Linked DNA regions of Sus scrofa. The protein of the gene in region 1 binds, or shares a complex with, the protein of each later gene. Links are inferred from orthologs where the notes say so. Each region holds a gene or a part of one and is shown on either strand. Other genes may lie near its edges. The genes, in order: GHRHR and GHRH.

What was found.
Region 2: the proteins of GHRHR (region 1) and GHRH are in contact, whole or in part, in a cryo-EM structure (PDB 7CZ5), measured with the Homo sapiens proteins. The link is inferred for Sus scrofa from reciprocal best matches to the Homo sapiens genes GHRHR and GHRH. Residues at the interface, in NP_000814.2 of Homo sapiens: Leu119, Ala120, Glu122, Glu123, Phe126, Ser127, Val129, Lys130, Tyr133, Val179, Lys182, Leu186, Phe187, Asp190, Thr192, Asp193, His194, Cys195, Phe197, His210, Thr213, Phe217, Ala271, Cys272, Asp274, Leu275, Asp276, Trp282, Ile285, Ile289; in NP_066567.1 of Homo sapiens: Tyr32, Ala33, Asp34, Ala35, Ile36, Phe37, Thr38, Asn39, Ser40, Tyr41, Arg42, Val44, Leu45, Gly46, Gln47, Leu48, Ser49, Ala50, Leu53.

Annotation. Positions count from the first base shown.
Region 1 is NC_010460.4:42,030,893-42,038,799, reverse strand, and holds the end of GHRHR (growth hormone-releasing hormone receptor precursor), read left to right. Parts: intron 1-147; coding exon 148-280; intron 281-1,671; coding exon 1,672-1,825; intron 1,826-2,115; coding exon 2,116-2,176; intron 2,177-2,778; coding exon 2,779-2,848; intron 2,849-3,544; coding exon 3,545-3,636; intron 3,637-4,124; coding exon 4,125-4,254; intron 4,255-4,799; coding exon 4,800-4,841; intron 4,842-6,307; coding exon 6,308-6,433; 3' UTR 6,434-6,727; downstream 6,728-7,907.
Region 2 is NC_010459.5:40,391,720-40,401,408, reverse strand, and holds the start of GHRH (somatoliberin precursor), read left to right. Parts: upstream 1-3,551; 5' UTR 3,552-3,712; intron 3,713-7,590; 5' UTR 7,591-7,611; coding exon 7,612-7,691; intron 7,692-7,973; coding exon 7,974-8,078; intron 8,079-9,689. UniProt on the Homo sapiens protein: GRF is released by the hypothalamus and acts on the adenohypophyse to stimulate the secretion of growth hormone.

The DNA.
Region 1 (7,907 bases):
GTGGATCCAATCCAATCTGATCTGATCCTAGCCAAGCCAATTTGATTCACCTCCTCACCTACTCAGCCGCCCCAAGCCTGCTCTGAGCACACCATAAGCCCGTCTCCCACCTTGCGTCCTGTCCCCCACCCCCCCCACCCCCTCCAGGAGGCTCCACTGCCCCAGGAACTACATCCACAGCCAGCTGTTCGCCACCTTTATCCTCAAGGCGGGAGCTGTGTTCTTGAAAGACGCCGCCCTCTTTCACAGCGAGAACACGGACCACTGCAGCTTCTCCACGGTACCAGCCAGGGTTGGGGGTGCCGGTGGGGGTGCGGGAGAGGAGGATGGGTTAAGGCTGTAGATGTGCCCGCTGGTCCAGTCCCCTGGGGCCCTGGCCTGGCCAGTGACAGAGCAGGAAATCGCCCCTCCCCCTTCCCGCCCCTCTTTGGGGTCAAGTCCTAAGTCCCCCTGCCGTTTCCTGGACCCTGCCGTCCACCCCATTTCCCTTATTCCACGCTCTGTTCTATATTCCCTCCCCCTATTCCATGGCCCATCCCTTACCCCAGCCTGGACCACGTTCCGCTCCACCCAGACTTTCCTCTTCGCCCTCCCTCTGAGCAGGTCTCTCTGTGCTGCCTGTGGGTGTGAGGGGCTTGCAGATGCCCCCAAGGGGACAAAGAGAACAGATTGTACCAGATTATGGGGCTGGCAGAGAGACGGAGCTGACAGCTGGGAGAGGACAGGCGAGGGCTCCAGGAAGGAGATGGCTTTGGAGCTGGGTGGGCAGCGATGATGCAGAAGGACTGGGGAGGAGCCGGGTGAAGCAGCCCCCGCAGACAGGAGAGGCTGGGGCAAGTCCAAGAACTGGGGGGTCCTAACGGGGGCTGGGAGGCGAGTGAATGAGAAGAGGTGGAAAATAAAGGGAGGCGGGCTGCGTGTGGAGGCCCAGCGCTTAGTAGGTCCTCTGACACTGTGCTCGAGACGAACAGATACATGAGTGAACCAGCACGTGCCCTTCATTCATCAGGGAAGGAAATTACAATACAGACGGAGCACTTATGTGCCAGGCATTACACTAAACGCTCTGCATCTCTTATCTCCTTTTATTTCCTACCTATATTTTCATTTTTGTCCCGTTTGTAGATGAGGGACAATTGGCGATGTCACCCAGCTGCTGAGGGGTGGGAGTGGGACCCAGCCTGGGCCATCTACGCTCGGAGGCCATGCCTCTCACCCCGACAGATGAGCAGAGTCGAGCTGTGAATGAGTGCATGTGTGGGTGCCGGCGCGAACGGCGGCCGAATGGAGCCGCGTGGGAATGAATGGCCTTCCATGTCCTCAGCTCTAGGGCTTGACTTGAGCTCAGGAGAGAAGGGACGAGAAGGCAACTAGTAGCCACTCGTGTAAATTTCCATTTAATCTTTCTGAGGCGGCCATGAGCTAGGAATCGGGTTTTTCCTTTTACAGATGAAAAGCTAAGGTATGGGGAGGGTACCCAGATGGTACACAGGGACCCAGGCTGTCTGGACCTCAAATCTGTGTCTTAACCACCACATTACACCACCGCATCCCCTCTGGGGCAGCCCAAGCTGGAGCAGCCCTGGAGACTCAGGGCCTGAGTGGGGTGGGGAGACCGGGTGGGGCTCCAGTGGGCGTCCCGGCTCTGAAGCACCCGGCCCTGGCCCGCAGGTTCTGTGCAAGGTCTCTGTGGCCACCTCCCATTTCGCCACCATGACCAACTTCAGCTGGCTGCTGGCAGAAGCTGTCTACCTGACCTGCCTCTTGGCCTCTACGTCACCCAGCACGAGGAGGGCCTTCTGGTGGCTGGTTCTCGCTGGCTGGGGTGAGCATCCAGCCGAGGTTGGGCACCGTGGGGGTGGGAGTGAGGGTGGAGGATGCCCAGGATAGGCACACAAAGGTTGCTTCAGCTCACTCATGGTGACCCCAAGGCCCGGAGCGGGGAAGGGCAGCTTGTAATCCTACAGCAAGTGTTGGAGCTCGGGGCCACGTCCGCAGCCTCTGAGCTCTTGCCTGGTCCGGCCTCCATGGTGCCCCCGTGGCTGGCAGTGGAGGTGGGAGGCAGGTGCTGGATGGAGAGCAGACCCCTTACTCGCGTCTTCTCTGTACCCGCAGGGCTGCCCCTGCTCTTCACTGGCACGTGGGTGGGTTGCAAGTTGGCCTTTGAGGATGTTGCGTGAGTCTGCGTGATCCCCTCGTCCCCTCTGTCCCGGGTTCCCATGGGCTGTGAATTGGACATTCAGGCAACGTGGCTGTTGTTCAACCTGGGGAGAGAGAAGGAGCTCTCTCCTGCTCCTGCTCCTGCCTTCAGGGAATCCCCAGGCCTGAGGGTGGGGAGACATGGTCCGTGGACAGCACTGAAGGGGCCTGAGCCCCGGCAGGAAGGGGGTGCAGAGGCTCAGGGCGCCGGGGCTCCAGGAGAGGCACGGGTAGGGGGCTGTCAGTGGGGGCTTCTTGGAACAGAGGCGGAAGTGTTGAGGCTGTAAGAAGGCAGCAGACAGACTGATTTTTGAGAAACTCACCTTCCAGGTGGAGAGAAAGGGTGAGTCCAGCTTGGATTGGGGTGCTCCTTCGGAAAGGTTCTAAATGTCCGGGAGAGAAGATAAGGCTGGACAGTAGGGCATGAGGCTAGAAGACCCAAATTCCAGAATGAGGAACCTAACGGCCAGCAGGCAGAGAGAAGAGAGGAGGGAGCAGCATGGGTACCTCCAGAAAAGGGTTTTGCAGCACCTGCCCGCACGGCACCCCTGCATCTGTCCTGGCCTGTCCTCTCCCCAGGTGCTGGGACCTGGACGACAGCTCCCCCTACTGGTGGATCATCAAAGGGCCCATCGTCCTCTCCGTGGGGGTCAGTGCCTGAGACTGGTGGCCTCTGCTTTTTTCAGCCTACCGCCTGGGTCCACTGAGCAGCCATACACAGCAGGAAACACGACTCCAGGCTGGGAGTCCCGACACCCAGGTTCCAGCCTGGCTCTGCCACAGATTCTCTGTGCAGCCTCTCTGGACCTCAAGAGCCCGTTGGTAGAACCAGTGCTTCCAGCTCAGAGTTTTGATGAGTCTGTGCCCTGGTTTCAGATCACCTACTACTGCAGTGAGGCTGGGCTGTGGGGGTAGACGGCGTGGCTGCTGAAACGCTTACCTGCTCCCATGCAGAAGACAGAGCATCCAGGACTGGTTTGCGTGGCCTGGGTGAATGTACACATTTTTGTCAGTTTTGCAATTGTGCAAAGTGAAGGCCATAGGCTTTGTGCCAGAGAAGAGCCTGAGAGGTGCTGGAGGCAGGATGGCAAGGCCTGACCTCCACCCTGGTCCCATGACTGGAGAGGGAGGAGGACCCTGAGCCCCTGAGTCCTTGAACCCCACATGGGACTTCCTAGTCACTAGGTGACAAGGTCAAGGTCTAGAGCAGTGATATGCACATCCTTCCACCTGCACATCCCCGCCTCTCAGGACTTGAGGTTCCTGGGCCCCAAAGAGGCCCCACCCCCGGCATTGGAGTCACCCTGATCCTTGCTTTCCACCTTCCTGCACCTCTATTTTCCAGGTGAACTTTGGGCTTTTTCTCAATATTATCCGCATCCTGCTGAGGAAACTGGAGCCAGCTCAGGGCAGCCTCCACACCCAGCCTCAGTACTGGTAAAGTGTGTGTGTGTTTTAGGGATTATGGGACAAAACTGGAGCAGGAGTCAGCATGTTCCTTTTTGATTCACGATTAGGCATTTGTGATCCTGGTCCTATGATTCTTACCATGTTCCCAGAGAGAGAATGGATCTGGCCCCTGCCCTCTGGGACATCACAGCATAGGAAGTGTGGGGGCTCCAAACAGCCAGTTACCAGGCCAGACAGCTGATGAGTGCTGAGATCAATTTCAGTAGGCGCCTCCTGAAGGAGATCCTTTTAAAATAGATGGTGCAGTTTGGGGTGCAATCAAGGAAGACTTCCCGGAGGAAGTGTCTTTGAACTAGATGCACAGACTTGACTGGAATACATTGAGACAAGAGCATTTGGCAGAGAGAACCTTAGACTCCAGGGGTCCGAGGTAAAGAACACCAGTGGGAAGTGAAAGGAGGCAGGGGGCATGTAGGTGTTTCTAATTCCAGCCCTGGGCTTGTCTTCTTCTGCAGGCGTCTCTCCAAGTCAACCCTTCTCCTCATCCCACTGTTTGGAATCCACTACGTCATCTTCAACTTCCTGCCTGACAGTGCTGGCCTGGGCATCCGCCTCCCCCTGGAGCTGGGACTGGGCTCCTTCCAGGTGAGGCCCCCAGGCACTCACTCCTTCCCTCTGAGTCGTTGGCAGGAGGCAGGTGCTCCCGTCCATGGGCCGGGTTGACTTCACGGTAGGTCAGGGCGACTAGGCTGGCTATTCTTCCTTCCAGCCCTCGCCATTCATTCAGCTGCCCGCCAGGCTGCTCCTCTTCCATCCATCCATGTCTCTATTGTTCAATTACACCTGCACATATCTGTCCAACCATCCTCCCATCTCTCCATCCATCCACCCAGTCCATTCAATATATACTGAGCACCTATTATGTGCCAGGCTCTTTGCTTAATACTGGGCGATGCAGGAATAAAGAAAATCAGAGAAATGGGCCACTGGGGCCCACAGTACAGCCTTGGCCGTCTTGTGTGACAGTTACATGTGACAATACACTGGACATAGTAAGTGATGAACACACCTTCTTACCCTTTTCCCAAAGACCTGGCTCAAGCCATAGCCTGGCGGTGGGTGAAAAGGTAGTAGGAAGACACCTTGAGGCCGGGCCAAGGTGACGGGCCCCTTTCTCTTTGGCCCCACAGGGCTTCATTGTTGCCATCCTGTACTGCTTCCTCAACCAAGAGGTATGTGACCCTTCAGGCTGTCCTTACTCATTAAGGCTTCGCTCTCACCAGTCCTACGTCCTCCCTCCCCCTCCTGTCCAGCCCCTGTTAATCCCAGTTCTACAGTCCTTCCTGGGAGTCTGTTCTGAGCTTCTGGATCAAGCTACACCTGAATACTTCCTATAAACATCTTTTATCCATCCCTTCTCTGGGCTGGGCCAAGTTTACTGTCCATTCAACAGGAAGTAGAAGAGGCCTTTCAGGGATCATAAGAGGATGGGGGGGGGTAAAGGGATCCCTTAATTCTGTGTTCCTAAAATTGAACAAAAAGGAGAGTGGGGGAACGAACAAGTCAGTTCCTGGAGAGACAGAGAGAAGACAGAGAGGAATCAAGAAAGCCAGAGGTAGACATACAAAGTCTAGGGAGATAGATTCAGGTGCAGAGCCAGGGAGGACAATGGAGGGCAGGGCACTGGAGGAGAGACGCACAAAAACCCAGACCCAGCAGAGGTGGACAAACGTGAAGAGACAGGATAGATGGTGTCGGTGTTCTTGCAGAATGATGGAGAGATGGCAGAGAGGAGCCAATTAGAACATCCCGCCCGAAGACACTCGACACTTTCCCTTTAGGACAGACTTGCTTTATGGGAGAAGTGGGGGAATTTGAACTCAGTGCCCCAGATGACGTCTGAAAAAAGGGATTCCACAGAAATGTGTCGAGGGATCTGTTCCAGGAAGCAGGTTTGAGGGCCAGACAGTTACATGCCTCTGGAGACAGGGAGCTTACTACCTCTCAACAGTTGTCAGGAAGCTCACTTTTATGTTGGACAAACAGAATATATCTCCCTTTTGCCTTTTGTCACCGCTTAGGCTCATCTTTGTCAGAAAGGTCCCAGCCTCTCTGCTCCCTCTGCCCACCGGAGCCCCCTTGGAGATGTGAAACTGCAGACATTACCCCCAACCCCCTGCACTTCCCAAATGGCTTTTTTTTTTTTCACTTATTCTCAGTACCCTCAACTGCGACTCCTCAGAAAGTTTGGAGGCTTCACTTCCTTCAGGTCATGTCCTCTGGACAGGCTCCCAGTGGCCACAATTCAGCTCAGTGGGCAGGGGCCGGACTGAGCCCCAGAACAGGGTCTCAGCTATTTGGAGAAGACAGAGTAGGTTTTTTTTTTTTTTTTTTTTTTTTTTACCAGAAACTCAAATAAAGCACCCATAAATATCTTTAACTGGGCCTAGACAAAGGCAGTGCTAAAAGGCAGAAAAAGAGTGGAAGGGAATGGTCAGAAATACTCCCAGGAAGGAGGAAGTAGTATCCTCCAGACACAGTACTTAGCAGTGGCTGCGGCCAACCATAGCTTCTCCTGCCCCAGAAACCCCTGTCTCTGTTTCTCCTGCATGGTCTCTCCCTGTGCTCTCAGCCCCACTGGGGTTGAGTAAAGAAGCAGCCAAGGGACCTCCCTAACATCCTCCCTGTTTCCTTGGAGGTGAGGACTGAGATCTCACGGAGGTGGCATGGCCATGACCCTGAACTTCTGCCAGCCTGGAGGACTCATGCCAAATGGGCAAAGCCTTCCCGCTCAAGGGCGAAGGTGCTGACAACTGTGTGCTAAGCTGCCCTTGTCACACACCTGGAATCCACACCTGAACGTGGGCAGCGGCTTGGGTCCACCCTCCTCCAGAGGAGGGGGACCAGCCCCCTGCCCCCCAGGAACCCTCCGTTCGTGCCCTTGCCCAGGCTGCAGTCCAGCCCTTCTTTCCTGTCCTGCCTCTGACTCTTTGGCCTGAGTCCCTGTGTGTCTACCTCTGAAGTCGTTGGTTCCTCTGTCTCTTTCCTTCTCGCGTCCCTCCTCCTGGAGTCTGGGCCGGAGCCGAAAGCCAGAGGAGCCAATAAACTTGTAAATGAGTGGATGTGCTTTCGAGTGACTCCATGCGCCTCTGCCAGGGAGGGATCAGTGGGCTTTTCTTCAGACCTCACGCCTTAGTTCATGTCGCGTCGCTGTCATTTGTCTGTACTGGGGTCCTCTGGTTTAATGCACTTTAAAAATGTACCCTCTTCCATCTCTACCTCCACGCCGCTCCCCTCCTCCCACAGGCAAATATTCCAGCGTGTTCATGTGAATACTTGCATTTCTGTGTTTTCCCGCGAAATGCGTGGTGTGATGCGTGTCTGTACTTTTAATTTACATAAATGCTGTCGGTTGTATGTCTCATCCTGCTTCTAACGTCTTTCCTCCCGGCACGATTCTTGTAAGAGATCCACCCAGGTTGCCGTGGGCGCTCATCTGGTCGCTTGTTTTGACTGCTGTATGGTGCCACGGGGTGTCACCACCCACGTGTGACCGTCTCGTCTCCCCCTGGCTCTAGGTCAGTGCGTGTTCATGTGCTGGGTCTTCCCGCCCCCGAGCCCATGGCGACACATACCCGGGACTGGAAGTGCCGGGTCAGTGGTTGTGCCTTTTCTTGACGTGACAGAGTGGTGCCAGATTGCGCTCCAGAACTCCGGCCAGATCTCCACTCCCACCAGCAGTGCCGCCAACCCTTGGCATTTGCCAGCATTTTAATGTTTGCAAGTCAAATGCGTGTAAAGTGACATCTCCTTGTTGTTTCAATTTGCATTTCTCTGATAACTAATGAGCACGTCTCTCCTCTGCCTTGTTAGCCTTTGGGTTTGTTCTTTTGGAAATGGCTGGGATCTCTTTCCCTCCTTTTCTCTAGGGTGGAGATCGTTCAGTTCTAGATTTTTCTCTTCTATCTTCTCCATTGTGTGCCCTCGTGCCCCCAGCCTGCTGCCAGCTGATCGCGCCCGTGCCCCCTCCCCCCCCATTAAGAGCCACCGATGCAATAATGGTCATAGTCCACTCCTCCCCCATCCTCCTCCTTGGCAGGAGGTAGGAGGGTGAGAACTGGGTGCTGTCCTTGGGGAGCAGTTTGCTGACTGATGGGCATAGAGGGAAATTTCAGGATAGCGAACAGGCAGAAATGGCTAGTGCAGGTCAGGACCAAATCTCTCCCATTCTTGGTCTGCTCACAGCAGGTCTGTCCCGCAAAGCTCAGCTCCCCGTGGCCTCTGGGAAGTCTTCCTTC
Region 2 (9,689 bases), on another chromosome or scaffold:
GTAGCTTCAATTAGACCCCTAGCCTGGGAACCTCCATATGCTGCAGGTGCGGCCCTTAAAAAAAAAAAAAAAAAAGCTAAATAAGTAAAAGTAAAGTAAAATACTCATGAGGGTAATATTTCCAAGCAACCCAGAGTCACTTAATTGACTTGCTAAGTACGACCGACTTTACCTCTTTAAAAGAGTTCTAATGGCCTTCCCAAATGCAGACTTTTCCAGAAAGAGGTGAACCTGGATCACCATCCATTCACAGGCACTTATGCTAGGATAGGACGTGAAATAGGAGACAGAACCTTTTGGCCCCATTTCACAGAAGAGGAAACCGAGGCTTGGGAAAGTCCTGTGACTTTGCCCGAGGCCACCAAGCCAGGCCAACCCCTACGACATCGCTCTCATAAGCACTCCTGTTGACATCTGCTGCTGCTGACTCCACAGAAGGGCCTAGAAGGCATAGAGTGGGCAGCAGGGGATAACAAAGGAATCTGGGAGTCTGGGGTCCAGGCCTTCCAGCCTTGCATGGTGGCCTCAGGCTGGGAACACCGCCGTCATCCAGGGAGAGCGATGAAAGCAGCTTTTACAAAGCAGGGTCTGAAGCCCTGGGACAGGCCCCCTTTGTCGATTCCCTCTGCGCTCCCCACCCCCAGGCCTAGGCCTCTAGCATCATCGCCCTCTGAATGGCTGGCTCCGGCACACTGGAAATTTGCAACACAAATGCTCCACTTGTCTCTCGGCGGAGCCTCGCTGCCCCAGCCTTTTGGGGCTTTTTAAAGCCAGCCTTTCTCTAGGGCGCTTTCTTTCCACAGCTCAAGCCCCCAACCCTTATACACAGGCACGATCACTAATTAGCGCTGGGTTCAAACCCATCCTGGGAAGAGAGCCGGGTGGTGAGCAAGCCGTTCCCACCCCTCGGAGGATAAGGACGAGGCGGCTGGCAGCAGGACTTGGTGGAGGGGGCCTGGCTCTCACTCTCAAGGCACATTTTCACTTCCTCCCTCCCATCTCCTTCCTTGATGGGTTGGAGCAATGACAGCAAATTAAGCTCCTCACCCAGGAGGGCTCCCAGCTCTCCCGCCTGGCTTTCTGAGCTCAGCTCTGATCATTAGACCTACAGTGATGGCTACATTTGCCAGGTGTATCAGGTACTTTACAAGCATAGTTTCTGATCCTCACAACAACCTGGGGAGGTAGGTATTATCATGCCCATTGTACAGATGTGGTAACTGAGGCTCAGCACAGCTAAACACCTTGCCCAAAAATCACACAGTTGGCTCCAAACCCATTTGATACTTTCCCAGCTTTACCGTGACTTCTCCCTTTTCTTGATTCTTGGAACATTTAGTGGTGTGTCCCTCTCTGGGTCCACCTCCTTGAGGTAGATGGTGGCACAACTGTAGAAGTTTATGAAGATTCACTGAACCATAGACTTCAAACAGGTGACTTTTTTGGTGTGTTAATTATACTTCAGTAAAACCCTTAACTTTTGGGAGGTTTTTTTTGGCTGCACCCATGGCATGTGGAAGGTCCCAGGCCAGGGACTGAATCCAAGTCACAGCAGTGACAACACCAGAGCCTTAACTTCTGGATCACCAAGAAACTCCTAAAGTTCTTAAAAAAAACTAGAAGAATTAGAATTGGTGGGCCATAGTAGCTCAGGTTGTTGTGGAATACTAAATTTGCAAGCTAGAAAACTTTGAGTCCTGGCTCTACCATTGCACAGCTGTGTGACTGTGGAAAAGTGGGTAACCTTTCTGTGCCTCTTTCCTCATTTAGAACAACGGTGATAGCAGTAGGAGCTTACTTATGTGACTTACTCTATTCCAGGCCTGTACCCTATCCACAGTCATATTTAATCCTCACCCAACAGCCTCATGAGATGAGCCCCATCACTCTCATTTCACAGATGAGAAAACTGAGATTAGGCATGAAGTCTTTAGCTCAATCCCTAACACAGAGCTTCAGCTGGGGTTGAATTCTCATCCCTGTGGTTTCTTGGGCCAGTTCTGTGTGTCCCATGTCTGTACTCTGGCCTGGTGTCCATTCTGGGTGCCCAACTCTGGGTGGTACCCACCTTGCATTCGCTGAGATAACCCCACACCTCCTGACTGTAAGAGAGCCCACTGCCCTGGGCTTCCTAACTCCTCCATCTGCCACCTGCAGCTGTGACCCATCAGCCATTCTTAGTCCCTGGGGATCTGGCCTGACCTGACCACACCACGTTGTGTCCAGGCCTGCAGGGTGATGCTGCTCAGTCCCTGCTTCTCTGGGGAACATCCCATGTTTGCTCTGTGCCAGGAACATGGCTCAGTGAAGGCTAAGAAGCAGGTTCATAAAGTGTCACTTGGAGGAGGTTCCAGAAACTACTGGTTCTAACTGCGAACCAGAGAGGTGTCCCGGGGCAGGCAAAGGCAGTCTCCACTCCTCAATCTCTAACCAGTGCAGCTCCATTTTAAAAATCTGTTTTAGGAGTTTCCTGGTGGCTCAGCAAGTTAAGGACCTGGTCACTGCTATGGCTCAGGTTCCTCAGCAGTGACCTGGGTTTGATTCCTGGTCCCAGAATTTCTGCATGCAGTGGGTACGGCCAAGAAAAAAATCTGCTTTGTATACTGCACTTCCATAGACGATTTCCAAAGAAAGTTCTGTGTCACTATTTACAAACTTGGAAAACTTCTGTTCTCTGCTGTTTTCCCTGAGCTGTGATGGGAGTAGAAATCGATAGTGTAGAAACTGAGGCCTGGAAGGCAGAAGTAACTTCTGAAGGTCACCAAAGTCATGACGGACAGACACGGAGGGGTAGTTGGACTCAGCTCACAGCAATTTCCAGTCCTCCACAGCAGCCCTATGGGAAACCAGGGCTTCTGCCTCGCACACTTTCATGCCGTTCTTGAGGCTTCTTTTGCTATCGGCTAGAGAAATCTGGAAGCACAACTCTCCCAAGGCACTCCATCTCTCCCCTCTCACCTCACACACCTCTGAGGCAGCCTTGACACATGAAACAGATGCTCCCCAGGCTCGCTGCCTACACCGACCTGTGACCGCAGCAGGTACAAGTCAAGAGGGGAAAATCTTGATAATTGGATGACAAGGGAAATAGCAAGCAACTTTCCTCACTAAGAGGAGAAAAACACCCAGCCTGTAATGTTGGCTGCCCTAAAGTGAAATAAAGTTGCACACGGACAAAACAAGATTATACCAACTTTTTAAAACGCCCATTTATCTCTGAGAGTAAATGGTGGTTCACTGTTCTGAGTACTCCAATTATTAGAGTAGCAGGATTATACTCTCTCTTCTTCTCGGAATAATATAATTTTTTTTTTTTTGCTCTGTCCGTGCTCTCGAAGATAAAGGGCAAGTTCAATACGAGTCTGAATTGGCGAGGGGCAAAACCTCTTTCCCCCGTTAGGGTTTGTCAGTGCGATGCTAAAAACGGTCCTTTGGTGGACTTGTGTGTAATTGATTCTCTGACGCTGACAACACTTAGGAAAATGAAGGTATAAATGATGCGAGTACCACGCAGGCGCTGAAGCAAACGGCGAGCCCGAGGCCCGTGGAACTGGAGCCGCGTCTTCTGGCAGAGGGAGACCTGCCACATCGGAGGTGAGAGGGGGGTGGCCCTGGGGGCCGGGCTGGATGGGGGCAAGACAGTTGATCTTCTCACCAGTTCAGAGACACCCAGTTCACCAGGCCCACTGCCGTCTTCTTTGCCCGTGGACTGGTGAGTACCTTTTAGGCCCCTTGTTAGTGGCTCTGGAACGTGCTCTTGATGGTTGGCGCCATTTTGAGGTTGTCTTGGACGCTTGGCCACTCAGTCCTCGGAGAGGTGGCAGGCAGACATGTGCCAGGTGTCTGTCAGGGGCAGCTGAGGTCTCGGTGCTCCTTCATGGGTGTGGGGGTGGGCTGCTAGAGCAAGGCACCCGCTGGCTAGATTCTCCTGCCCACAACGGGATTCTGCCACGGACCCGAAAGGAAGCAAGTGGCTGTGCAAATCAATACCACTCACCGATTGCTCAGGACCGATTTAATACAATTGCCTGGAAATTGATAACGTTTTGCTTTCTTGCTCAATTGCAGCCGCACTCCTTACTCTAGGTTTTAGACACAATGACCTGCTCCTGAAGCTTGTCTCTTGACCCTTCGGGGCTTCAGGGATCCTGAGTATTTGCGTCTTTTACCATAAGCCACCTCCAACCTTTCTGGAAGGGGGTGGGGCACCACCCTTTTGAATGACCGTTCAAGATGCTTCCTCACTAAAAACTTAGATCTCCCTCAACTTAGAGCACTATTGCTGGAAACAGTTTATAAACAGAGTCAGGATTGGGGGGGGCGGGGTTCTTAAATCACACAGTAGAATATTCGAGAAAGGTAAAAGATTTGTTTTTTTTCCCCCAGGAGTTCAAAAATGGCCTCGCTAGTTTGGCACTTGAGATCTGACCTCTGTCGTCAGTTGAAGGTTCATCTGCAGAATTCTTGTAGCATTCTTGGCACCAAGTCTGGCAAAAGGTGCCAGCTGCTGTGAATCAAGTGCCCATTTTTCCTGAAGCCAGACAACCTCGAATATATCTAATGACAAAATTAGTTTGTAAGCACTGTTGAGAACTGACTGATACTTGTAATGATAGATGATAAACCCTAAGATGACTTTGAGGCCATCAAGGAGTTGTCGGTGGTGCTGTTGGATATGCACTAGATTTAATTCCATGAATTCTAGCTCCTTGGACTGGCCATGTGGAAGATATCTGTCAACAGCTAGCTTCTCCGCTGTTCTCATCTCATAGGCTGGGTTATTCTTGTTGTTTTCCTTTTTTGTCCAGTGGGATTTTGCAACCACATGGATTAGGTTCTCAGCCCAGAGGTTACAAGGGTGTCATGACCCATCCCTCGGGCATGTGGTTTATAGCAAATGTGGTGCCTCTTGGTGGACCAGACTATGAGGTTACCCCACCTCATTCCTGAATGACCAGGGGTCATTGGACTTACGTTGACTTGCCCCCCAAAGACTGCCCTCTTATCGGGCTATTTTCAACTCCCTAAAACCACTGGCTGTGCATAGGAACACGCCAACCAAGCAGGTGTTCCTGTCTTTCCCCCTTATTTCTTCCCCAGAGACTTAGTGACAAAGAGCAAAAGCATGTGGTCTTCTCAGAACCGTTTCCCACGCACAGGTGATGAATTCTGAGGCGCCCGCATGAATAGGGGATTGTATCTGAGAGGGCGCCTCGCGGAGCAGGAGGAAGTCTGCTGGCCTGGGAATCACGAGGCCCCTTCTGAAGTGCCCACTCCGAGACTAATTTGTTGGAGGACCACAGAAAAAGGCCCTTCTCTTCTCTGGGCTCATTTCCCTGATGGTAAAATAGAGGTGGTGATACCTGCTCTGGAGGACAAAGGTGGGGGTGTCCTGGGAATCCCTTGAGCCAGCCCTGGGAGAAGTGGTGGCGGGTGGGGAGACCCAGGGGGAGCCTAGGCCAAGAGCAGGGGTTTGGGTTTCACTCTGGCGGGGATGGAGTGCCAAGGCTTCTGAGAGGTGAGTGAGTGATTAAGGGTCTGGATGTGCCCTGGTGGTTAAAGGACCAGCAGGACAGAAGGCAAGAAAGCCCAGGCTGCAGCTGGGAGACGGAAGAGCAGTGGTGTGTGGAGGAGATTTTCTGCCTCCAAATATCTCCCTGCTGAGGAAACCAGCAGTGGACCAGCTCAGAAAAGGGGGAGCCAGTTGTGACAGTGTGATGAGAAGGGCAGAAGACGAAAGACCCTCGGTTTGGGGGACGGGGTCTAAGTCAGGTGCAAAGCGCATCTAAAGGGCTTTTCGTGGGAGCTCCTCCTGTGGCACAAGGGGATCGGTGGCGGCGTGTTGGGAGCGCTGGGACATGGGTTCGATCCCCAGCCCAGCTCAGTGGGTTAAGGATCCAGCATTGCTGCAACTGTGTCTTAGGTCGTGATGGCAGCTAGGATCTGATCCCTGGCCCGGGAACTCTGTATGCCTCAGGGTGGCCAAAAATAAAAAAATAAAGGGCTTTTCGTGTGGATGGAGGTGCAGAAGCTCTGGGAGGCACAGCAGGTAGACATCGAAGGGGCTGCCCTCGAGGGCCGATATCACGGTCTCATCTTTTCTCTGGCCCCAACCCTCCCCAGAATCATGAAAGCTTAACAAGAATTTGCAGCAAAAGGGGACTTGGAACTTGATGCAATGAGAAAAACCTCCTAACAAGAGGAGCTGCCTGGAAATGGGACAGACTGGCTTGGAGGTAGTGAGCTCCCTGTCACTCACTGGCAGTGAGTGTTTGAGCTGAAACTGGAGATTGTCTGTCTGGGGGGAGAGGGCGCACGTCAAAGAGGAGCTGGTGACTGAGGTCTGGACCGCCCCCTCCTCTAGCTCTGGAGGTGCAGGGGTCTCAAGGCATGCCTGGGTTAGTTGAGACCCCAGTGTCTGGGAGAAGGGGGGTGAGCCCAGAAAAGGGAGTGGATTCCTGCAGCGCTGGCTCTGCCTGCCGGAAATCCCTCCTCAGCAGGACCAACTGGAAATGGAACCTGATGGGCAGATGGTCCTGGCCTCTCTGGGGCTGGCTGGGCCTCCAGGGCGGGGGGCTGCATCCCCATGGAGTGGACATCCTGCGGAGAGGGGGTGCCCCTGGGATATGAGAAGACCCAACTCTTAGGTGGCCGAGACACGCCGAAGCCAGCCATCTCTGCCACGCACTCGGTCTGCGTTGACGGCAGAGGCACCTCCCCTGCCGAGGCGCGAGGCGGGCTCTCTCCCCTGTTGACTGTTCTTCCCCTAATTGCATGGTGTCAGCAGGCCCCAATTAAGGATAATTACGTGATCTATGAGATGCTTCTGCCTCACGGGCTCCCCAGGCTCCCTGGTTTCTATCAGGACTAGAAGTCTTTGGCAAAATCTAAGCATCTGGAGCAAGAGGTATAGCCTCCCCCCACCCCACCCCCAGCTCCACACAAAAACAAAGCAGCCTGCCCTCTGAGCATCAGAGGATTGTGGAGAATTCCCCACACACCACACCCTCCAGGTACCCCATCTCATGCTCACAAGGACCCTATGCCCTGGGCAGAGTTAGCAACTCCATTTTGTGGGTAAACGGAGATCCAGAAAAGAGAAGCCCCCCGTCCTGGGATGCACAGCTAGTGATGGATGTGAACTCTGATTTGTCTGACCCAGAGCCTGAGCTGTTAGTCCCGCTCACCGCTGTCAGTGCCGCTGATTTAGAGGACGAAGGGAAGATGCTTGCTTTCCCCTGCTTCCTCGATGAGGCCTGAATGCCACGTGCAATGCCTCACAGCCAGGGGCAGGTTCACCATTATCCTTCACTTAATACGCAACCCCGTGAGGTCAGCCGGGTGGCTTTATCATACCCATTTTACAGATGAAAAAAAAAATGAGGTCAGAGCTTGTGTCTAGCAGAGGCCAGACTTGAACCCAACTGTGTCTGACTTCCAAAGTCTGTGTTCTTTTTCCTGCCCCACAGCTTCCAAAGGACAAGGACCAAAGCTTGCATGGGGCCAAGACCTGAGCTGGGCCCAGCCAGCAAAAGGTGTCCCAGTGGCTATGGCTCCAGCTGACCTTTTCCTCCTGTCTGTCACTCCCAGGTGCCACCACAGGGGTGAAGGATGCTGCTCTGGGTGTTCTTCCTCGTCACCCTCACCCTCAGCAGCGGCTCCCTCAGCTCCCTGCCGTCCCAGCCCCTCAGGTAAGCAGTCCTGACAACAGGCCCTGGGGTTCCTGCCAGCCCACTGCTGTCCGTGCAGGTGTGGTGTCAGGGGATGCAGAATTGAGCTGTCAGCTGGCCACAGGCAGCCTCCCCTGCTCCTCTCTGGGAGGGAGGTGGACTCCGAGCCCCAGAGAGGTCACCCCCACCCTCCTCTCTAGGGGGTGAGCAGGGCAAAGGGCAACAGAAGGACCTTACTGAGATCCGGTGAGACAGCCCACCGGCCTCCCACCCTGTCCTTTGACCTCTGACTCCTTCCACTAGGATGCCGCGGTATGCAGATGCCATCTTCACCAACAGCTACCGGAAGGTGCTGGGCCAGCTCTCTGCCCGAAAGCTCCTCCAGGACATCATGAGCAGGCAGCAGGGGTGAGCCGACATTCTAGTGACTTCTTGCACTCCAAATGCCCCTCAGTTTGCAGGGACCAACTCTGGTCTCTTCCCTTGCTCAGTACCTGTCATTTCGGGAGTTGCCAAATCTCAGCTTACTTCTAATAAATGATCATTGGACCCCCACTATGTGGTTGTCCCCATTACCACTTGGTTATGACTCTGTGCCAGAAACAAAGGCTACATGGGGACAGGTACACACCTTTGACACAGCGCCGGGCACAGAGTAAGCCCTTGGTAGTATTAGCCATTTTCTTAGTTTCATTGCTCTAACAACTCTGCAAAGGAGGTACTCTTACCCCCATCATACAGAAGCTACATTAATAGCTTCCAAAGGGCACACACCAGAGTGGCAGAGTCAGCATCCAAGGAGCCTGACTGCACAGCTTGAACACATTTTATGTTTCTTTTTTCTTTTCGTTTTTAGGGCTACACTTGCAGCATATGGAAGTTCCCAGGCTACACCAGGGCAGCACCAAACCCGAGCCACGACTTCAACCTACGCCACAGCTCATGGTAACTGGATCCTTAACCCACTGAGCAAGGCCAGGGTAAACTAGTCAGGTTTGTTTACCTCTGAGCCACATCAGAAACTCCCTGAACACATTTTGGTTTTTATTTTGAAAAAATTCCACGAGTTCCTGCTATGGCACAGAGGGTTAAGGAACCAACTTCAGTGGCTCAAGTCACTGCAGAGGTGTGGGTTGGATCCCTGGCCTAGCACACTGGGTTAAAGGATCCAGCACTACCACAGCTATGGCACAGGTCACAGCTGTGACCCTGATTCAACCCCTGGCCAGGGAACTTCCATATGCCATGGGTGCAGCCATTTAAAAAAAAAAAAAAAAAATCCAGGAGTTCCCGTCGTGGCGCAGTGGTTAACGAATCCGACTAGGAACCATGAGGTTGCGGGTTCGATCCCTGCCCTTGCTCAGTGGGTTAACGATCCGGCGTTGCCGTGAGCTGTGGTGTAGGTTGCAGACGCGGCTCAGATCCTGCGTTGCTGTGGCTCTGGCATAGGCTGGCGGCCACAGCTCCGAGTAGACCCCTAGCCTGGGAACCTCCACATGCCGCGGGAGCGGCCCAAGAAATAGCAAAGAGACAAAAAAAAAAAAAATTCCAAAATTTCAGAGAAGTTTCAGCAATAATACAAAGAGCTTTCATATATCTTTCCTCATATTCAACAATTCCTAATATTTTTATTATATTTGCTTGCTCTATATCTGTACATCGATACACTAACCCATGTACATATTATTATTATTGTTTTGCTGAGCCATTTGAGAGTGAATTGCTGTCATCGTGACCCTCTACCCTTAAGGACTGCCTGTGTCCTAATATCCAAACAAAGAATACTCTTTGAGGAGTTCCCGTCTAGCATAGTGGTTAATGAATCCGACTAGGAACCATGAGGTTGCGGGTTCGATCCCTGCCCTTGCTCAGGGGGTTAAGGATCCTGCGTTGCCGTGAGCTGTGGTGTAGGTTGCAGACATGGCTCGGATCCCGCGTTGCTGTGGCTGTGGCGTAGGCCAGTGGCTACAGCTCTGATTAGACCCCTAGCCTGGGAACCTCCATATGTCATGGGAGCAG